5 separate regions of the Mus musculus genome follow, and regions 2, 3, 4 and 5 are each reported to be linked to region 1. The links are microRNA targets in miRTarBase. Many come from high-throughput screens and were not tested one by one. Region 1 holds a microRNA gene; each other region holds the end of a gene's coding sequence.

Region 1 (4,460 bases):
ATTTACTCTGGGACTATGATATTACAAGCCAGAGAGAGTGTAAACTGCCACAATTGGCTCCTGGTGTCCACCATCTCCTGTGTCACACATGGGGTATAACCAGCAAACATGTAAGGGCTCCTTGTAGCCACTACACAGCTATTTTTTTTTTTTGATAGGAGTTTATGGACTACTTCTCATACACCCTTCTCCCCTTTATTGTTACCACATCCCCTATAAAGAAAAAAGGCTGCTCTGTATGGAAACTGAGTCAGAAAAGATAAGTGAGTGAGGAGAGGGTGAGATCTGGCTTCAGGCCAATCATGTAAGAAAAAAAGCCTCAGACCCGATCAGTCTCTGATGTGACGCAATACAGCCAGCATTAAACCTCTAGCAAAAATCCTGTCGGACTCTCAGCCCAGTGGTCTTCCCACTCTCCTAGTCGGGCCACCTCTGATAAAAAGTCAATAGAAAAGCCCCAAGGCCACTCTAAAACAGACTACCACCCTTATCAGCCCAGACTAAGTGAAGGGGTGAAAGCGGATTTCCAGCACCAGCGGGAAAGTCCAGAGAGTGCGGCCAGCAGAGGCAAGCAGGCATTTAGTAGTCTGTCTACATGAGAGATGGGGTCTGTGAGCCATCCAGTGAGCCCAGAACCATAAGGAATAACAGCAGCGCCACAGTTGGCTTTCTGGTATTTAGTCCCTAGGTTTTATGCTGAGCATCTATAACACAAGATTCCAGTTTAGCAGAGGGACTGGGGAAGGCCAGGCACAGCAGGGAACATCGCCTCTCCCTCTCAGGCTGTCATTTTACTCCACACTAATTATTTCTGAAGGGTTCATTGTGACTGGAATGCACTCTTGAACAAGCACAGTTTGGAAGACTGGGAACCCTAAGACTAGGGTTCTCTGTAAGGTGCTCTAGTACTGATCGGTTGCTGGGAGGGTTAACAATCTTAACAGCCCTTAATCTACCAAGAGTTTAGCGACTCTAGACGATATACTCTCACCCAACTTTTAGCACCACCTCGCAGCGCCGCTTTCTCCACCCTCCAACCATCATGCGGCTTGTTCCGGTTTTTTTTTCCCCCCTTTGTTTTCAAAAGTAGCCGCAGAATAAATCGTTACCACCAAAGGAGCATCTTGAACGACTGAAGCTTGAAGCTTCCCAAATCAAAGGTCTGAGAGAAGGGTGTGAATAACCAAACCAGTTGAAGGGAGTGAAGGAGAGGCTGTTAGGGGCAGCATCAAGGGGCTCTAGATTTGCAGCTCCTGGACACTTGGCTTCTGACACCCACTCTAATCCTCCTGGACATGCAGCTGAGATTCCCAGAAGCACGGTGTGGCACCAACCCAGAACAGACTGAGTGCCTGCGCACTCCTGGGCTGGCGGGACCAGAGGCGAGTCCTTCTAGAAGAGCCCACAGTCTCAGGCAAGCACTAGCCCACGGGCGTCAGGGCACACAAGGAAGGGGTGGCGGGAATGTCGAGAGCTGCCCGGATTTCAAACTCTGCAAAGCCTATGCTGCTTTGGTTTCCGGGGTGGGGATAAAAAGTGACTCCCCTTACGACCTTCCCGCGACCCAACCTCCTCCGAGTGTGTCCGAGGCAGCTCGGGGCCAGGTCCTCATCCCACAGAGGGCTAGCCTGGGGTCTCCGCAGAGCGCTGCCACTCAGCCAATCGAGCATGGGCAAAGAGAGAAAGGCAAACCTAGGGACACTCACCAAGCGGTGGCCGCCCCGCCGGCTCGCGACGCGCCAGGCGCGCGGGGCTGCCCAGGTGGCGCCGCGAAGCGGGCTCGAGTTTGAAAGTCGCTCTCGGAAGCGGCAGAGGCCGCCGGCCGCTCCCGCCCACGGCTGGCCGCCCCGCGGTCCCAGCCTCTGCTCGCTGCGAGCACCAGACGCCGGGGGACCCCCGAAATGCGCACGGTTCCCCAGCACCGGGCAGGAAGTTGCGGCCGGAGTCCAGGCTGCGGCGGGAGGGAGGGAGGGAGAGAGAGAGGGAGAGGGAGGGAGCCAGGGAGGGGCGGACCAGGAATGTTTCCAGTGGGTGGAGACTGCGCTCGCGGCTGCGATCCAGCAATTGGCGGCTCTGGGGGGCCCGGGGGAACCTTCGCGGCGGTGCGAGCGAGCTGTGGCTCCCGCTGTAGACAGCGGCCGCCGTGGCTAATGATTAACGCGCGTGGCCCGCCGTGTGGGTCCCGCTGGCCGCCTCCCCTTGCCACCTGGAACTCTGGGATCCCAAGGCGCACGTGGTGGGGTTACTCTAGTGCCACCGCCCTGATATCACGCCGAGAGGGCAACGAAAGCCTCCAGACCAGGTTCCGACCAGAGAGGACTCGGAGCCCAGCCACCTAGACTTTCCCAGGAGAAGCGCAGGTCTAGGTGGCAAGGGCGTCCTGGTCCTACTGGAGCAGGTCACCACGACCGCTGAGTCAGAAAGGCACGTCTCGAATTCCTCGCCGAAACTAGGTTTCGGTGGCTCTTTACAGTTGTAAAATCTTACCTTCTGAGGAGAAAGAGATAAGAAGCGCATAACTTGGGGCGGGGCGGGGCGCGGCGCTCAGTGGGACTGTTAATGAGAAAAACTGATCGAGGAACCTGAATGTCAGTGGACCCCATTTTGAGTGCGATCTATCAACAAAAGGCATGTACCGGGAAATTAGGGGATGGGAAAATTGGGGGATGATTAGCACAAGCACATAGAATACAAACCAGTTAGATTTTGAGCAAGAACATAAATCTTTTGTGTGGTTTTTGTTTTTGAAGCAGGATTTCAATTATCTGAGACTGGCAGAGGGTAATCTTGAGAGTAATGGTTCTCCACCCTCTATCTCCGGAGTGCTGGGATTACTGGTGTGCACCACCACGCCCTAATTATTGTTTTTATTTTATTTTTTGATTTGAAACAGGCCCACACTTTGTAGCCCAAGCTAGCCCAGAACTCTTGAGTGATCCCCCAGAGTGCTAGAATTATAGGTGTGCGCTACTACACCTCACTAAGAATAAATCTTTCATTGGTAAAGATCTTAGGGGAGGTAGCATTAGATGCTGTCCCCAGTACGCACCATGAAGAGGGGTAGGAGATGGGAGCCCAGTGTGAGATCACAGAAGAAGTAGGACTCCTGCGTTAAACGATGGCACCAGGTTCTTGGAACAGGAATGGAGAATCGACCCCAGTAACTCAGCATTTAGACCGCCAAGTGTAGACAAGTGAAAATCCTAAATAGCTTATAAAATCCCCTCCTCCACCACTGCCCTCAAAAAAAAAAAAAAAAAAAGCTGCCCCAGGGAAAAGCAAGCACCTAGTGATTTACGGGGAGGGGCGGGGCAGAGAGAGAGGAAATGGCTTTCAGGTGACTTTGAAACGGGATCCCTGGGAAGAGTAAAGATTAAAGTAGTCCTTGCTCCTGACTGCGGGAGGGCCAGAAAGTAAGGCTCACGTTACTTAGTCCACAGGTTAGGCTTGAAGAGCGGCAGACTAGAGGACAGCACTGGTGAGAAACAAGATTACCCGGGAACGGGGGAGAGAGATAAAACTACGGGGTGGGATGGGAAAGGGAGAAGCCCCACTCCTTCCCACCTCGAACTTTCTGGGTTTCTGGTTTCTTCTCTAATCTGTTAAATCTTACCAGTCCTTTCCTACTAATCTTAAACTCCCAACTTCCAAAGACGTCCCCCAGCCCCAATCCAGAGATTTAAAACTTTTGAATGTATGACTGGCTCCTTAGCTAGAAAAGAAAAATAAAATGTTGATGATAGTAATGGTTAGGGAATGGTGCTACCAAGTGCACTGCACTTTATAATCACTAAGGCAGGAATACACTTACTCCCATTTTGCAGGAAGAATACTGAGGCTCTAAGGATGGAGCAGTCTGGCCAAGATCAATTGCATCAAGGGGCGTAGTCTGAGGGGGCGACACTGGAGTGCTTACTGTGTTAACCTTTGAGCATTTTACAAGAACAATTGCGGTTACAGGAGAAACTGAGGCTTGGTCATACTGCTAGTGGGTGGTAGAGCTGGGAGTTTCTACCCACAGGGAAAACTGCATTTAGCCAGCCAGCTCTTTCTCCACTTCCTTCTAGACACTTGTTAGTCCATTCTGAACTTGATTCTAAAGCCTCGAGTTGTTTCTAATTGCTTTAATTTATATGCCCATTTCCTGAAAAGATTGTAATCTTACTATGCAGAACTTGTAAGAAGCATTCAATAAGGCCATGCTGGAGCCAGATGAAACAAGCAAGATTTTATAAAAAATCAGTTTCCTACCTCCAAGCCTCCAAGAGTCAGTGTCAGGACCAGGGTCTCAAGCCGAGCCGCAGCCCCCTTCTCAGCGTTGAGCCTTTCTGCCTTCCCACCAGCTCTTGCTTCAGCGAGCGGCCTCGCCCTGCTATTAAATCATTTATTATTATAATAACACCTTGAGTCTCAGTAATGCCTTTAATCTGAGGTCTCAGGGTGTCTAACAAATACAAATT
Region 2 (4,460 bases), not on the chromosome of region 1:
ACCAAATCGAACAAAATAAACCCAAAACACTACATACTCTCTGGGCAGGGACGTGGTAGCTTACACCTTTAATCCTAATACTTGAAGGCAGAGGCAGGTAGATCTCCATCTACAAGGTTCCAGGCCAGCTAAGGCTACTTAGTGAGACCCTGTCTCAAAAAGACAAACAAAAGAAAACAAATAAGTCTACACGTACATATTCAGCTATTACAGGCAGTGCAATTCTCCCTAAACGCACACGGGGAAGAGTTTAAATAAGCAACATAAGCCTTGTAATACTAGCATTAATGGCTGTTGGCGGGTATTCTGGGCTAATAGTGGCTGTTTGTCATTAATTTCTTAGTAACGATGTGTTTTCCATTGGCTTTCCGCACTATTCAACACCTCAGGGTTTCTTGCGTATTTATGTGTACATCTGTGCAGGCAGGCACGTGATTAGAGGTCAAAGGTCAACCTCAGACATCATCCCTCAAGCACCATCACTGTGGTTTGAGGCAGGATCTTTCTCATGGGTCTGGGGCTCAGCCTGTCTCCACCTTCCCAGCGCTGGGAATGGGCACTGCCATACCTGGCTTTTTAAATGGGTTCTAGGGATGACACTCAAGCCCTCAGGGCCACACAGCATGCAATATACCAAGGCACCAAGACAGCCTTGACTTCTGGAATCATTTTTCTCCCTCTAACAAAGCTTGTCTAGCAATGGGTGTGTGTGAATGTGGGCTTTACCGCTAAGGGCTGAAATCAAGACATACAGAAGGAAGTGAAAGGGTAGAGCAACTACTGTGAGTGGAAGGCCAGCCTGGGCTACATGTCACCTGCCTCCCTCCACAAACAGGCTCCGTGCTAGCTCAGGTCTCTTAAGTATCTTTCAAAAGGAATGTCTGGACTAAGCATGCCTTTTTATAACAAGGTTCTTACCATGGCCCTAAGGTCAGGTAAGGACTCCCCCATCCCCTGGTAAGTAGGATCAATATTTTAAGACCTGTAGCCACTCACTTATATTATTCTTTTGGTCCTATCTAGCATCCTGCATCTGCTATCTATATAATTTATAACATACCTCTTCCTTCTCTTTAAGCCCCCTTCTCCCCACAGGCATTGGAATTTCCATGTTGCTCATTAAGTTCCATTAGCATAACCGTTAGTTTAAAAGAAAATTTTTTTATCAATCAGTATTCTTAATTTCATCCATCAGGCCAGACAGCAATCTTTCCAAGTTAACTAAGTCTTTGGTCTGGCACATTACTATGCAATTGATAATTTAGGTTACAATAGAAACTTGTTATGTTTTAGTCATGGTCCTGAATAACCCAGTCCATTAAAGGATAGGGAAATCACATCACATCAAGGGTAGAGCTCTGCTAGGCCCTGCAAAGCTGCTTGTCACACACTTTACCAGGCTATAGGGCTGAGAGGGGAGAGACTGCCTTGCACGTCTTCTATGGGAGAACAGCACTGTAAAAGTGACAGATTCCATACAGGAAATTACGAATAATTAATAAATTATTCCTGCGTGACATGTAGAGGTGCATATGTGTAGTTCTGAGTTTGACCTCTGAACCCCACAAGATGGCAGGGGAGAACCAATCCTGAGAGCTGTCCTCTGAACTCCACACCCTTGCTGGTACACACAACAATTTTTTTAAATGAAAACAATGAAAATATGAAATATAGAAATGTTTTAAATTGTATTAATAAACCACTTTATTAAAGCAGCATAATTCCTCTGTGCATTGTAAATATACAAAGATTAAGTATAGCTCTCATTCCTCAACAAAGAAATGTCTCTTTGCCACAGAAATCATTACAGAAAACCACAGAGATCAAGATGAAGGGAACAAGCGAGCATGAGATGCCCGGCCCATCATCTGTCTACAGTACATCCTGCATCAAGGCTCAGGGCTGTAGCATCTCAGAAGGGGCGGAAAGACTATAAGAGCCAGAGAATGGGATGTCTGCTGTAAGACTGGCTCCTAGAAATGCCAAACTATTTTTTAAATTATAATAATGAGCCAAGCAGACCAGAACTCATCTTTAATGCCTGCAACTAGGAGGGCAGCCGGAGCTACACAGTGAGACCCTGGGTTAAAAAGTCTTCCTTCTCACTGATTAGTCTTTGAGAAGAGTTAACTGGGGAGCATGATACCCCGAGGGAAGCATTACTGAAGTAACTGGCTGTCCACCTTGCAGTGGCTGAGGAAGTCAGGAAGTCAGCTCCTACCTTCTCTGCTTAAGGACTGTCCAACCCAGGCTGGGCGGTGGTGGCGCACATCTTTAATCTCAGCACTTGGGAGGCAGAGGCAGGCGGATTTCTGAGTTCGAGGCCAGCCTGGTCTACAGAGTGAGTTCCAGGACAGCCAGGGCTACAGAGAAAAACCCTGTCTCAAAAAAAAACAACAAAAGGACTGTCCAGCTCAGCCCGCAGGCAGGCCAGCAGGCTCTAGGCACAGAACACAGCCTCAGAAGCCCTGGGGTAAATACAAGCAGGCCCAGGGACACAGGTAGGGCACAGACAGCAAGTTACATGGCTGTGCCTTCATAGTGAAGAACTTTAGTCTCAGCTTCTCAACAGGATGCTTTTTAACTCATAAACCTGTGGTAATGAGTGAACAAAGCCACAAGAACAAAGGGAAACAGGATCGTTTGTGACATAGGCATTAACAGGTTTGAGAATAGCAGTTAGTCTGAACTCACATGTGGGCCTTTCCCTGGGTCAGAAGATGTAAAGGGATTTTCTAAAGCCTTCTTCCTACAGGTACTCTGTGCCGGCTAGTTTTATGTCAGCTTGACACAAACTAGAGTCACCAGAGAGGAGGGAGCTTCAGTTGAGAAGATGTCTCCATAAGATCAGGCAGTAGGCATTATGATCAATCGTGGAGCAAACCAGGAAGCAGCACCCTCCATGGACTTTGTATTGACACCTGCCTCAAAGTTCCTGCCCTTCCTAAGTTCCTGTCCTGACTTCCTTCAAATATGGACTACAATATACAAGAGAAGTGTAAACCTTATAACAAACCCTTTCCTCTCCAACAGTCTTTTGCTCACAGTGCTTGGTCATGACAACAGTAATCTTCACTAGGACACCTCCTGAGCAGTGCCAAGTCTCCCTCAGCGCACAGCTGGAAATAACAGCCTAGATGTTCCAAGGCATCTAGTATAACTCTTCAGATCTATCAATTAGTGAGATGAACATTCCAAAATGAACTTCCGAATTCGAAAGTGAGTACATCATTTCCCTGTGTGTGAAAAATTACACAGAACCCCAAATCATAGACATTCATCTTCAAGTGCAACTTATCAGAATTCTCAGCTCCAAGGAGCAACATTGTTTACCTGGCTACCTCAGAGGCAGAAATGTGATGAAGACTTGCCTGAACTATAGGACATCCTTGGGACAAGGGGAGCAGGTAGAAAGAAGAAAAATGGGCGAGAGGAAGGAGGAAGACTCGAACATTCTAGTCTCATCTATTTACCTAGCTATCTGTTTCCTGAGTAGCTCTTTGAAGCAGGACCTCATTATGTAGCTCTGGCTATCCTGGAATTCACTATCTAGATCAGACAAGCTTTGAGCTCACGGAGAGCCACCTGTCAGCACACCCAGCTCATTCCAGTTTCCTGAGGGAGGCAGATGAGCTGGTGGCCCTGTGTGTCTTCCTTTGATTAGAGTAACAGCTCTGTGCACTCTCTCCAGCCACAGCCTCTAGGAGCCAAGGGACCAGCGGTGAACCCTTCCTAAAGTATGCAGAAAGTGACCTAGTCTGAAATGTGTATCATGGTTTGAGCTTCAAGACAAGCTCGGTGGAGTTTAGCATGTTCTGACTGACCTTCCACACCTTGAAGGGGACAGAACAGCTTCGAGTTTTTCTGTACTATTTAATTTCCCCAGAATTACAAACTTTAGAATCAAACCACTTTAGCCTATAAAGGACTTTTAAAGACTTGCCTTAGTGCACCTAAAAGCCTTTTTGATGATAGAGATCAACAAAACTCCACCCCACTTTCTCTGACCATAAAACTGTGTTTTTTTAAACTGTTACTTTTTAAATGACGTGAAACTAATGAGAACCGGCTGCTCTTGGCCTCGTCGTCCCTGGAGAAGATGACCCTGTGCTTCACGACCCTCTGCCAGGCCTTGCAGAGATAGGCTCTGTAGCCCATGTCTCCATCGCATGGGTGCTTGGAGGAAGAAGGCCCGTCTGCAGAGTCTGAGCCTTTCTGCATTAGACTCTGCGTTGTCGCAAAAAGCAGCAAGCGGTACTCAGTGACAAGCCGCTCTAGGAGCTGAGAGCACTTCTGCAGCGTTGACTCCTGCAGGGCCACACTCTCTCCTCCACTGACTCGGTCTATCCAGTAAAAAGACGACAGGCTGTCCACAATGAGAAGGCAGAGAGAGGGGCGACTGCAGAGCAGGGCTTCCAGGGAGTGCAGCGTGAGCAGTAACTGCATGCTGCTGCTGCAGT
Region 3 (4,460 bases), not on the chromosome of region 1:
TGTGTTCCCTTGTTTGCATCGTTTTTATCTTATCCCACTATATTCTGTGTCTCATGCAGATTATGATAAAAGCTGCAGTGGGGGCTGGGAATGGAGCTTGGTCGGTAGCCTGTTTCCTAGCATATACAGAACTGGGCTTGATACCTAATACACATAATACCTACCTGTAATCCCAGCACTCTGGAAATGGGGACAAGAGGATCAGAAGCTCAAGGTTATCTTTAACTATGTAGTAAATTGCAGGCCAGCTTGGGTTAGTTATATGAAACCCTTTTCAAAGACAGGGGAGGGTAGGTTGAACGTTTGCGTGAGTGTGTTGTGTGTGTGTAGGTTCAGTTCTGAAACAGCTTAATGGGTCCTGCATCTGTTTCAAAGTTCCTTCCTAACCGTCTTTGCTGTCTCTTCACAGCTTCACCGAGTCATCATAACTTGCACTGAAGACCTACCACGCTGTGCTATTCCATCCCGCCTGGGGCTACCCCTCCTCTCTCCTGAGTTCCTCCTGACTGGAGTGCTGAAGCAGGAAGCCACACCAGAGGCCTTTGTTCTCTCCAATTTGGAAATGTCATCTACCTAAAAAAATATGTACCTTTACCTTCTCAGACCATCGAACAGTCCTAGAAAACACTTGGAAAAAGGAACACACACATACACAATTAAGACGGGGCAAGGTGGTTCACACCTTTAATCTCAGCACTTGGGAGGCAGAAGTAATCATATTTTTCTGAGTTCTGGGCTAGCCAGAGGTACATAATGAGACCCCATCTCAAAAACCAAATCAAACAACAAACCTCAGGGTTTCACAAAGGCCTAAGGTATATTGTATCATCGTAACTGTTTGGGGAATGTGAATAAGGCCTAAAATGTTTTGGGGAAAAAAGGGAACTTTTTTCCTAAGATAGCCAGTTTTTTAGTTGGCTCACCTGAGCTGGGTATGGCTCTCTACCGAGCACCTGCCATCTGCCCAGCTGTGCTCCGAGGAAGCTGCTCCAGGCTCAGTGCCCTGACTCTACCTCCTGTCCAGAAGCCAGCATTTTCTCTTTACTTCCCGGGGTTCTACTCAACATGAAGCAGCTCCCAGGAGTGCTTGGTTGAGAAGATGAGGGTAGCTCATGGGTGTGGCTAGGAAAGGCTTTAGTTTTGCTGTACTTGCTCTGCTTTGCAGTGTTGGCAGTTAGCTGTGGTCATCTCCAGTAGCTCAGTGCTCACTCTGCCTTCTTGGTGGCAGGTTTCTGTGTGGAGACACAATGGATTTGAACTTGCACTTCATTTATTATTATTATTAATTTAGAGTAAATTGTATTTGTTTTTTAAAGTTGGCTACTTTCCAGGATGTGGAGAAAGTAGAACTCATGAATACTGCTGGTGTTTGGCTTGTCCTCTGCAGTAAACAGTAGCAAAGTTATTTCAAAGTAAGCAGAGCTAGCCGTGGGCATTGCCTGTAGCCCCAGTGCTTAGGAGGCTGAAGTAGGAAGCTCACCAGTGCCAGTTCAGCCTGGGCTACAGCGTGAGAGTCGGGCGTGGTGGCGCACTCGGGAGGCAGACGCAGGCAGAGCTCTGATTTCAAGGCCAGCCTGGGCTACAGAGTGAGTTCTAGAACAGTCAGGGCTGTTAACAGAGTAAATCCTGTCTCGAAAGAGAAGGAAAAAATTTTTTTTGGTTTGTTTTTTGCCATTTTCTCTGGACATGTGTAAGGTGAGTCAGTGCTCGTTGTGCCTGCCTGGTCACTCTATGACCCAGCAAGACTGTTCTGTAAGCAAAAAAAAACTCTGTTTTGTTTGGTTTTGTTTCTTCGAGACAGGGTTTCTCTGTATAGCCCTGGCTGTCCTGGAACTCACTTTGTAGACCAGGCTGGCCTTGAACTCAGAAATCTGCCTGCCTCTGCCTCCCGAGTGCTGGGATTAAAGGCGTGTGCCACCACGCCCGGCTGCAAAGAAAACTTTTAAACATGCATTTGGTATGTAATCCCAGCAGTCCCTGTAAAGGCTAGTAGGATCAGAAGTTCAAGCTCATCGTGGATTTTTGGGTTTTTGTTTTGTTTTTCCGCCCCCAAGGTCAGCTCAGTCTAAACTGCAAAAGATTCAAAAATGAAAAGCACTTGATGTTTTATCTTTTTGGTTGGGCTGGGGCTTGAACCTGGAGCTTCCTTCCTTTATGCATGCTAGGCAAAGCCTCTACCACTAAACCTTATTCCCAGCCCCTCACCTCTTTCCAAATATAGAAAAGCTGAAGATTTTTGTTCAGCAAGGATGAGCATATATACTGTCTGCACAGAAAGCAATGTTCAGACATGAAGTGAAAACACAGTATTTGAAGGTGGTCAAAGACACCCTAACACAAGGGCGAGACAAAAGGGACAGGTTTGATTCCACCTGCATAATAATATATAAAGTGTGGTGTGAATTCACAAAGGTAAGAGCAAATTGATGCTTGCCAGACCATGAGTACACAGAAGCTGTTCAAGGGGTCTAGTGTTCCCCTGTGGGGAGTTGAAAGACTTGGAATCAGAAAGAGGAAGTGATTGTACATAATGCAGAATATTAAGTACTAATGTATAAAAGGGTTGGGTTTTTTTTGCTTTATGAATTTCACTTCAATAAAAAAGTTGCTTACTTTATATTTTCCTGCAGTGAATTATGTATAAGCTTAGAGAACTATTGGTGGTTGGCACAAATGAGGCCCAACTCATGACAGGCAATTGCTTTACAACTCATTCACACCCCAGTTATATGCTTGATCTTTAAGGTTTTTCTTTTTTGGTGGTGCCGGGGGTTGAATCTAAGGCTTCCTGAAATGCTGCTCAAAAGCTTCACCGCTAAGCAGTAGTCCTAGACCATTGTTCATTTGATGCCTGTGGAGGCCAGAAGTCAGCCTTGGATGTCTTTCCTCGGGCCACTTTGTTTTTCTTTGAGATAGGGAATCTCACTGGGACATGGGGCACCCTTAGGCTGGGCTGGATGGACAGTGAGCCTTAGGCATTTGCCTCCCTAGAGCTTGCATTATGATTTAAGGAGGAAACAGGTTAAAGAGAAACCACACATAGTCAACTGCTTGTTTCCCACCTATAAGCTCTTCTGGGACCACTTCACAGTGTCTAGAAGATCAGTGGAGCCAGGATGTGATGCTAGGCCATAATCCCAGCACTTGGAGGCAGAGGCAAGAGGATCTGCTCAAGATGATTCTCAGCTACATAACAGCAAGTTCGAAGCCATCTTGCGCTACATGAAGATTCTGCCATTAAGGCGTGTACCACCACCTGGCTAGATTCTGCCATTAAAAATATATATACATTTTTTTTTTTTTGAGCAGTCCAAGTGGGGGCTGGAGAGAGCTCAGTGGTTGAGGGTACTGGGCTCTTCCAGAGGACCTGGGTTCAAATACCAGCACCCACATGGCAGCTCACCACTGTTACTCCAAGATCTGACACTCACATAGTTGCAAGCAAAACATCAATACACATAAAGGCAAAATAAATGTAAGTACAGAACTTCTTCAAAAACATTCACAGATGGAGCCCACTCAATACATTTCCCAAGCAGAGATCAGGGTGGGGAGGAAAAGTGCTATACAATGCATTAGAACTTGGTCCAGACGTCTTGGGAGCAACCAGCCTCCCTGCCCTTGCTCTATCTGTAATCTGAGAGAATCAGCTCTTGTCTTCTGAGGACCCTGTACTTGGATAGCTATGGTGATTGAGCCTTTCATTACTCGGTCTTTGGTTTTAGAGACAGGGTTTCTCTGTGTAGCCTTTGGCTATCCTAGAACTGACTATATAGGCCAGGCTGGCCTGGAACTTGGAGATCCATATGCCACCATCTCCCGACCTTGTCTCTCTCTCTCTCTTTTTTTTTTTAATGGCTTTTTCGGAACCGGTCTCCATATGCAGTCCAAGCTAACTTCAAATTCTCCTGCCTCACCCTTCCGAGTACTGGAATTACAGGCACGAGCCACCACACCCAGCTCTAAAACGGTCACTATACAAAAATCTATGTTGGGCGGGGTGGCGCCGTTTGTAACCCCAGCACATCAGGGATTGAGGCTGGAGAATAAGGAGTGATTATCTTTAAAAACAAGATGTTCTTTATGTTTCCACGCAAGGGAGGCTCTGTCTTCACTTTCCTCGAGAACACTGACAGCGCTGAGATTCGACCCACAAGGGTAGCCGCAGACCAGCTGCCCTGACGACGCCTGGGATTCCAACTCCGCGCTGTGACGCGCCGCTCGCGGTCCCCGCCTTGCCGCCAGCACCCCCAAGGAGGCGGGACCTGGGCAGGGCCAGCAGTCGCGGGAACCCTGAGCCCGCCTTCTCCTCAGGCTCCGCGCTGCTCGCCATGGCACCGGCGCTGCTGCTGGTTCCTGCGGCCCTCGCCTCCTTCATCCTGGCCTTTGGCACCGGAGTGGAATTCGTGCGTTTCACCTCCCTGAGGCCGCTGCTTGGAGGGATCCCGGAGTCTGGCGGT
Region 4 (4,460 bases), not on the chromosome of region 1:
TTACACGGTTGGACAACATTTAGACAGGGTGAACTTAGGTATCTTTGAGCTCCTTTTCATCTACTCTTCGAGGAGGCTGAAGCAGAGCCAGTTCTAGAAAGCAGACGCTTCGACAAGATAGCCGCAGCTACTGCCTTGCCCGGGGTACTTGATTACCTAACTCCACATAGCTCACAGAGCAGCTCAGGAAAGCCCTGGGGCACTCTCTCCAGAGAACAATCGGTTGCTGTCATTGTCTCCCACAGTGCGTTGGACAATCCTGGAAGGACTGGCCTGACTCCTCTCCTTCTCTGCTGGCCCCAAGGCACAAAGTGTCTGCCCACTAGTCACCAGCCAGTCTGGCTCCTGTGGCCCTTTGAAGCCTCCACAGAGCTGTCGGCTTATCAGACTGGCCATGCAATCCTCTGGGCTACCTTTTCTCCCAGCTCCCTAGGTCTGTTTCCTTGGCAGAGATTTTTTTTTTTTCCCTACTTATCTGCCCAGCCAGCAGTAGGCCCGCAAAGGCAGGCCTTGCAGGATTCCCTCATCTCTTTTCCAGAGTGTCAGCCCTGCACCTATTGTTTTTGGTATTGTTTTTCCAGTGGTCTTGGGGAACCCCTGTAAAAGGGTCATTTGACCTGCAACAGGGTTGTGACCCACCAGTTGAGGGCCACTGAACTTGAGTGATCACTGGTTTTTGTTTGGTTTTTTTTTTTTTTTTTTTTTGGTTTTCGAGACAGGGTTTCTCTGTATAGCCCTGGCTGTCCTGGAACTCACTTTGTAGACCAGGCTGGCCTCGAACTCAGAAATCGGCCTGCCTCTGCCTCCCGAGTGCTGGGATTAAAGGCATGCACCACCACGCCCAGCCTGTGATCACTGTTAACTATCTAACTACCAGACTGGCCTTGGACTCACTGCGAAGCTGAATCTGTCCGGATCCTCCTGTCCCCATCCCCCAAATGCTGGGATCACAGGCATGTATACCATGCCCAGCTTATGCAGTGCTTAGTATCAAAGCCAAGGGCTTCATGCATGCCAGGCCAAAACTCTACCATCTGAGCCACAAACAAGCACAGCCCAACTTTATACCTTCCCCCCCCACCCCACACACACACTAAAACGGGGGCTGTGGGAAATGTGCAGTAGATAGGGATGCCACTGAGAGTGTCAGATTATTGCTAAAGAACAAAATTTGTTATGCAGTTTGCAATTAATGTACCAGAAATTTACCAGCCTATATAATTGTATCACTCACTCTCCCTTCCCCAGGGGAAGATAACTGATACTAAAATAATGAAATCCTTCCGCAGGGGAAGATAACTGATACTAAAATAATGAAACCTTATTTCTTGACCACTCACATCCAAAATATAATTGGTCCTTGTCATTAGAGGGTGAGGCTATGGGCTGCTGGCAAGGTCATTGACATAGCTGAGCTGCTTAATCCTGGAGGGTGTGTTATAGGACAAGAGGATATTCCAGAGTCAACAAAGAATATCCAGCATTGTGATGGACAGCCCCCCAAAGTCATTACCAGGTACAGATCAGAGGCTGGTGAGCCTCTGTTAAATTTTGTTTTGTATCAGCATTCCTGAACTCCCTGAAAACACTATAAAACGCTGAACTTTAATTACAAATGCAACAAACAAGGGATTGGCGTGTTTGGTATCATGAACCTAAATAACAGAGTTTCTCCAAAGACAACAAATTAATCCAGAACAGATCTGTGATAGCTGCACTCGTGCTGGTAAGTGAAGTGCACATACAGAGTCTAGGCAAGGGTGAGTGTGCCTGGACACACTTACCCGTGCTTATGCGCTTAGGACTAGAGGCTGATGTCAGAATGTCTACTCCATTGCTTCCCCACCTTGCTGAAACAGGACCTCTCACTAAGCTGCTCTGTATGGATGCCTGGCCAGTGAGCTACCAGCACCTGCCTATCTTTGTTCCCAATGCTGTGGTTACAGGTATATGCAGCCACACCTAGGTTTCCGTGTTGTACGTGGGGGCTAAACTCACCTTGATGCTTGCACATCTTGCCATCTCCACTCTATAAGGTGATATTTTTAAGGCAAAATGAGGAAGATGCCATGTTGTATAAGAACACAGCAGTATTTGGTTATAAGCATCAATAACAAGGTAACGTTGGTCCAAGGGTGGACAGGCAGCTCTGGATAGAAGTCCTGCACAAGTATTATCTGTGGAAGACTGAAGGGATTGTCGCACAAGGCTATGGCCTTAGCAGAGTTGGCTTTTGGGTTTTTGCTGTTCTTGATGTTCTGTTTTGTGATTTCTTTTTATTGTTTAATTTTTTTAAGCAGGGATTTAGTTGGGCTTATCATTCAGAAGGCAAATTGGCATCCACCATGCATGGTAGGGAAGGCACAGATTCCGAGTCTGAGGCTGGCCCAGCAGTCAGGAGGCCGGCAGGCAGGAGGCCGGCTGACCACGCTTCGTCTGCGCACAGGACGCTGGCATTTTAAAATCAGTGTGCACGTCCGAGAGCCTTGCCTTCAAGCTTCCTGGCTTTATTTACTTTTTAGTCTAGGGTCTAACCCATGGGACTTCATTTTCATTTAACCAGTTAAAAAAATATCAATAGTAGAAGATCCTGGAGAGAAAACAGGGACACACATGTAGATGGCAAGTTGCTGGAGCTTTGATCAAGTTGTAAATGAAAGACAGCACAAATGTCTTCAGCATCTGCCTCCTCCCTCCTGTGCTGGGCTTCTGGGGAAGTGCTGCTGTCTACATTTCCCACACTTCCTACATTTGGTGTAGGAAAGCAGAAGCCCTAGTTTACCCCAGGAAATGCATGTCACAAGCTTACCCACCTGTGTGTTTCTGTGTCACAGGAAAGGTTGAAGACAGGACATTTGACTGTCCCACTGGTGAGGTCAACACCCTCTGCATAAATACTAAGTCTGGCAGCATCTTGGCATGCCAACCCAATGTCAGGCATGGGATGTCTCCAAAGACAGCTCTTCCATTGCTTGAAAAAGGGACAGGGAGCCCTAACAGCTGGGATGGCATCAATGAGCTCCAGAGGCCATCACACCTTATCGATACTGTAGAATACTTTGTAGCAGGTCCTGGGGATCGAACTCCTGTTGTCAGCCTTGGCAGCAAGCTTCTTAACTCATTGAACCATCTCACTCATCTGGGGGAAAAAGCTTAGCTATACAAAGTTCATCAAATGTAGCCTCTGCTGTTTTTAAACATCAATACAAAAACTAGAGAGGCAGGGCAGTATGCTTAATATAACTGTTGGAATAGAATTGAGAACTATGTTTTTAGAGATACAATCTCATGCATCCGAGGATGGTTTAAACTTCTGACCCTCTGATTCTGCTTCCCTGGTGCTGGAATTATAGACATGAGCCACAGGACCAAGTTCTGCTGTGCTGAGGATCAAAACCAGAGCTTCAGTGTCTTGGCAACACACCTTTAATCCAGCGCTCAGGAGTCAGAGGCAGGCAGAGCTCTGTGAGTTCAAAGCCAGCCTGGTCTACATAGTAAATTTCAGGACATCCTGAGCTACATAGTGGGACCCTGCCTCAAACAAACAACAACCCAAAATAAAGAACAAAACAAAAACAGGGCTCTGAATATTCTAGGCAACTACTTACCAACTGAGCTACACCTCCAGGCCCTAAACACCCCATTTTAAATAAGTTTTAAACTTAATATTTATCCTTATCCAGGACTTATGCTCAAATTCTACCTTTTACAGAACACATACAGAATCTGTGTGTGTGCAGAGAACTCTGCCCAATTAAATCCTTTTTGTTTTGTTTTTTCCGATATGAACCCATTAAAAAAATGTCAAGACATCAGTTGCTACGAATGCTTTTGGCCACTGTAAGCCAGCACCACACCAACTGCTAACACCAAAGCCTGGCACATTCTGAAGTCATGTTTCCTTTTCATGTAATTCAGGCTCAGGGATCCGATACAGAGCAGCTGAGAAATAAATAATGTTGCTGAGGCTGAAGATGATGCACAGAAGCATGGCCGCTGCTATCTGAGGGAAAGAGAAGGGTCTGGAGGTGGCCAGGAGCCACTCCCTCCTCAGGGTCTTGTCCAGAAGGATGGCTTCCATCTGCAAGTGTGTGGCCAGGATGACGCACACATGAAACAGCTGGTGACTGTGGCCTATGGCAAACAGAAATGGACATCGAGATTAGCAGTCAGAACCAGAGAAACAGCTTAGTGGGTGAAGACTCCCGCTGCCACCAAGGGGACCCTCAGGAGAGGAACCATTCCCACTATTGTCCTCTGACCTCTGCATGTCATGGCTTGTGCACACCCATACATACATACATACATACATACATACATACACACACATATGTAAATTAAGTGCTAAGGAGTCATCAGTCAACAAGTATATGGACACACAGAGGCTATAATATGGATGGTAACATGGGACTGCAAGGAGCCAGCCAAGAAATCACATGTATAATTTTGTTTGGTCTCAC
Region 5 (4,460 bases), not on the chromosome of region 1:
GTTTTGCATTTCTGTCATTTTTAAAGTTGATAGAAAAGAATAACTCATACACCCTGATCTTGTAATTTACAACACTTCAAATCCTTATTTAGCACAAGAGATGACTGCTGTACAAATTCATTGGTTTCCATCCAATTTGGAATCTTGATACTTTTCACTTATAAAAGCAATTACTTATATATTGTTTTTATACTAAATGCCTTTTTATTAGTTGAAGAAACTTTATCTCTGAAATACTAAGAATACATTGTTTAGTTTAGGCTCTTTTGCCCTTAACTGTATAGCTATTTGTTCTTCCCAATTTTGTTTTGGTGCCCTTTTCAGCTGTATAGTAGGACTCTATTCTATAAGAAACTCTCTTCTCAGATATATTCTTACCTATTTCTTCAGCTATCAGAAAATATTGATCCTATTCTTTCATTGGATTTTGGGTGTCCCAACATATTTTGCTCCTCAAATTAATATTTTTCAGATCCTCAAAAGAAAGATTCAGAGATCAAGACTTAGCATCACGTGACAGAGACAGGAGTTCAAGAGACAGATCACCTCGTGACCGAGATCGAAAAGATAAGAAGCGGTCCTATGAGAGTGCTAATGGCAGATCAGAAGACAGGAGGAGCTCTGAAGAGCGTGAAGCAGGGGAGATCTAACTAGCTGTGTACATATCTTCAATCCTTAAGCTTCCCATGGAGTTACATGCTATTGTTTATAGTTGTAAAGGGTGACAGTTCTAGACACCGATCCAGTCAGACTAGATGTATAGTATCCAATGATTTGAACTGAACCTGTTTTCCTTCATAAAGCCTAAAACTACATCCATAGTTTTTTGTGAACCTGAACATAACAGTTTATATGATGAGATACTGTTCTCTATTCTTTCAAGTTAGGAGTGATAGTGAATGAATTGTGTTAATGTCTTGCAGTTTTTGAACATTTGTAAAATATTGTCTTCTTTTCTATTCCAAACAGCAGCAGCTTTAGGATTTTTTTTTTCCATTATAATTCTTCTTCCTTTGACTTTTATATCTCCTGATACCTGTTCCTCCAACTATAAGAGGAGAGGGTGAAGGGAAGTATTGTAACTTCTTTTCTAAGGTTCTGTTCACGTTGGTTATTAGTTGATTACAGTTGAGCATTTCTACTGGATTGTGTGCTGGAGACATTTAAACACGGGGCTGTTTTGTTAGGGGCCTATAGAGTTGGAAGTTGAACAGCTGTTGCATTACATACTTTTGCTTTTATATTGAAAATTTGAAATCAGACTTGCCTTGATTTTTTTTTTTTTTTTTTGTTCTAAGAAACTGCTATGTTCAGTATATTGAGGGGGGTGGGGGGGCAGGGACTATTTCATAATAGCACTTGTGTGTGTGTGTGTGTGTGTGTGTGTGTGTGTGTGTGTGTGTAGAGTTTAAAGACTATAATTGTAAAAAAAATGAAAAGAATCATCACCACCACTGTAACTTGTTGATAGTAAGTTGCCACTAGAACTATTTGCTGTGGTTATTTTCTATTTTGTAACATCTTAACAGTGCCTTTCTGTATAAGGCACCAAAGGAAGTAAATATTTAACTCTGGATTTCAGATGAATTGTTGCTCCACCCAAATCTCTTGCTGCCTATACTATACTTCAGAGCTGTAGTGAGCAGCTTCTGTAAGGAAAGAGTGAACCTGTAGAAGCAACTAAGAGTTGCTTGGTTTGTATTTCTTAATTGACAAGCCTGAATAAAAACCATATGTAACCAACATACTGAAACAGCAGTTTCTGCATTAAAGATCTAATTACCTACTGACTACCTAGTAGTTAACAAACACCTTTTGTTCTTCTAGAATATAGGGGAAATAATATATTAACTAGTAAAGTTAGTATATATTAAGATCACTTTTTGAAGGGTAAGATCTCATGTAGTGCAAGCTGACCTAGAATTCACTGTGTTAACAGGGTATGACTTTGAACTCCTGACCTTTGATTGAGCCTTTGCCTCACTGCTCAAGATTATAGATGTGTACAATGAAACCCAGTTAAAATACTATTTCGGGGTGGTTGGTGGTGGAGGGCAGTTCCCAAAATTTAATGACAGGTATTTGACCGTTTGTGAATGTGAAAGAGCAGAAAAATAATGGCCATTTGTGTGATTATTCTTGAGTTTTAGAGATGAGATCTTGTTCATGTATCCTTGGCTTGCCTTGAATTGCAAACTTTTTGTCTCAGCCTTCTAAATATTGGGAACATAGGCACAGACCAGCGGGTGTAGTTTAAACTTTTTTTTTAACAGCAGAAAGGAACAAAAGCATGATAAATTATGCCCATTATCTCAGTGCTGATGCATTTGTGAGGCTGAGGCATGTGCTTGGCAAGTTTAAGGTCAGGTAGGGGCACTCCTGTTTCCAGTTTACCAAGTGAACACATTTATAAAAGACTGTCAGGAATGCCTGGGACAAAGCCAACATCTATGAAGGATAACTGTACGTGGTGTTGCCCTATTTCCAAAGCACCATTGTTACAGTCTTTTTTACTTTAACTTTTTCTTTTGAACTGAGAAAAACATGAAAAAAAATCAATTAGCAAAATTGGGGTGTGAGTTATATGTGTTTTAGGTTCCTGAATTTTCCCCCAAAGAAAGTGCAGTATAAATGACTTGAGGGCTGGATTGAAGCACTTCCATTTCCTGTTTGATGTCTCAGTTTCAGTTCCTAGCATTATGAAAATTATATTGTCAAAAGTTTTTGCTGCTGAGCAAGGCATGGTGAGTGCTCTGGTCCCACAATTGAGGGTAGTTCGGAAGCTAAGAGTGGATTTGGAGTTCAACACCAGCCTCAGCAGCTTGTAAGCCTTATACAAAGCACACTTGTAAAAGTGTGGTTTTTGAAATCACATAAAGGACCCATTTCAAAAATAGGCCTATAGTGAATCGAAGTCCAAATTCCAGTTTATAGAAAATAAGGTAAGTTCTAAATGTATGTTACTTTACAAAACAACTGGCTAATTTTTCTTCAAAAAGTCAAAGATTTAGGTTAACCAATAACTGTGTTTGTAGTCTAATTAGATCTAAAAGAGATTTTTGACTAGCTGGCCATGGTGTTTCATGCCTGTTATCTAGACACATGAAAGTCAGGAGAATTTCCATGATTCTGAGGCCAACTTGGGCTACAATAGAAAAACCCTGCCCTTTGGAGGAAAAAAGTAAGAAAAAATAGAGAAACTGAGAGATTATATAGACTGGAAAAAACTTGTTAACTTATATAATGATAAACTTGCACTACATTAAAAAAAACCTTATTTTTAGTATTTATGTGAGAGATGATATTTGGTACTTATTTCAAATGATGCAGTTAAATATCCACATACATATAAAAATAGTGTGTAATATGTTAAATATTAGAAGAGCTTTATGTATATTTTCAATTTTTTCTTTTTTTTTTTTTTTTTTTTTTGGTTTTTCAAGACAAGACAGGGTTTGTCTGTGTAGCCCTGCTGTCCTGGAACTTACTTTGTAGACCAGGCTGGCCTCGAACTCAGAAATCCACCTATCTCTGCCTCTGCCTCATGAATGCTGGGATTAAAGGCGTGCGCCACCACTGCCCGGCTATTTCTTAAGATTTTATATTTGAACCTTATCAGAATCACACTAATAGATAACACCAATGGACACATACACAAAAAGTACCTGAGACCATCAGCATTGAGACACCACTGCATACCTACTGAAATGGCCCACAGAGGGGCAGTATAGCAATATCAAGTGCTAGTGTAGGTGGTGAACAACTGGAACCCCCAAAAGGACTGAAAATGGCACAGCTGCTGCTTATAAATTAGGCATGTCCATAACACAGTTCAGTCGTCTTGCTGCCCAAGGGGGAAAAAAAACCAGGAGACTCCACAGATTTGTATTTGAATGCTTAAAGCAGTTGTGTTTATAGTAACCCCAAACCACAAATATTAGAAAGATCTATCAACCAGAAATCAGACTGCGGTGCATCCACACAATGGAAATAATTGCTAATGTATATAGCAATGAGTAACTTCATATACTCAACTGAAGGAGCTAGACCCAAAAGAGGACACTGTACAGTTCTCTTCATGTGAATTAAACAGGCAAAAATAACCTGTTAGCCTTATTAGGGCTTGCTGCTGAGCAGTAAGCCTTTTAGGGTGTTAGACATTTTCCGTACATTGAATGGCAATGTTTATGTGCTGCCTACTCCTTGGCCTTTTTAAAAATTTTCTATTTCTATAAAAATAAATATTGGTACCTTAAAATTGTGAATATGGGGGCTGGAGGGAGGACTTGGGTTAAGAACACGGCTCATGAAGTGTGGACGGGCCTGGTGCTGTTCTTGTGAACCAATCTAGTGAATAAAGGAACCAATCACTGGGTGAGTACGAGGGACTTCCGGGTTGGATGGAGGAAGGAGGAGAGAGTTAGGTCCTTTTGGAATGGGGATAGCATAAGGACAAGATG

The links. The annotated mature microRNA mmu-miR-5135 reads AGGUCUAGGUGGCAAGGGCGUCCU and lies in region 1 at 2,359-2,382, shown strand. An mRNA with a match to its seed (bases 2 to 7 or 8) in the 3' UTR can be bound and repressed. Matches are read on the target gene's strand: a 7mer-m8 pairs with bases 2 to 8, a 7mer-A1 pairs with bases 2 to 7 and ends in A, and an 8mer does both.
Region 2: miRTarBase lists Xrcc2 as a target of mmu-miR-5135. Seed matches in the 3' UTR shown: 7mer-A1 at 2,331-2,337.
Region 3: the mRNA of Mdc1 is a reported target of mmu-miR-5135. Seed matches in the 3' UTR shown: 7mer-A1 at 1,843-1,849.
Region 4: miRTarBase lists Paqr5 as a target of mmu-miR-5135. Seed matches in the 3' UTR shown: 7mer-A1 at 3,484-3,490.
Region 5: the mRNA of Luc7l2 is a reported target of mmu-miR-5135. The part of its 3' UTR that is shown has no 7-base or 8-base seed match.

What each region holds. Positions count from the first base shown.
Region 1 is chr12:76,531,065-76,535,524 of GRCm38, reverse strand. Mir5135 (microRNA 5135) reads left to right here and starts at 2,313; the gene lies at 2,313-2,391. It overlaps Plekhg3 (pleckstrin homology domain containing, family G (with RhoGef domain) member 3), which reads right to left and starts at 1,965. Exons shown (of 19, transcript NM_153804.4): 1 at 1,707-1,965.
Region 2 is chr5:25,688,135-25,692,594 of GRCm38, forward strand. Xrcc2 (X-ray repair complementing defective repair in Chinese hamster cells 2) reads right to left here. Exons shown (of 3, transcript NM_020570.2): 3 at 1,680-4,460. The coding sequence ends at 3,979. Among named protein-coding and RNA genes, the nearest start is that of Xrcc2, 15 kb to the right of the region's middle.
Region 3 is chr17:35,857,054-35,861,513 of GRCm38, forward strand. It overlaps Mdc1 (mediator of DNA damage checkpoint 1), which reads left to right. Exons shown (of 16, transcript NM_001010833.2): 16 at 410-2,617. The coding sequence ends at 577. It overlaps Nrm (nurim (nuclear envelope membrane protein)), which reads left to right and starts at 4,265. Exons shown (of 4, transcript NM_134122.2): 1 at 4,265-4,460. The coding sequence starts at 4,332.
Region 4 is chr9:61,952,154-61,956,613 of GRCm38, forward strand. Paqr5 (progestin and adipoQ receptor family member V) reads right to left here. Exons shown (of 8, transcript NM_028748.2): 8 at 1,585-4,134. The coding sequence ends at 3,893. Among named protein-coding and RNA genes, the nearest start is that of Kif23, 7.6 kb to the left of the region's middle.
Region 5 is chr6:38,607,681-38,612,140 of GRCm38, forward strand. It overlaps Luc7l2 (LUC7-like 2 (S. cerevisiae)), which reads left to right. Exons shown (of 10, transcript NM_138680.3): 10 at 473-1,790. The coding sequence ends at 650. Among named protein-coding and RNA genes, the nearest start is that of Klrg2, 27 kb to the right of the region's middle.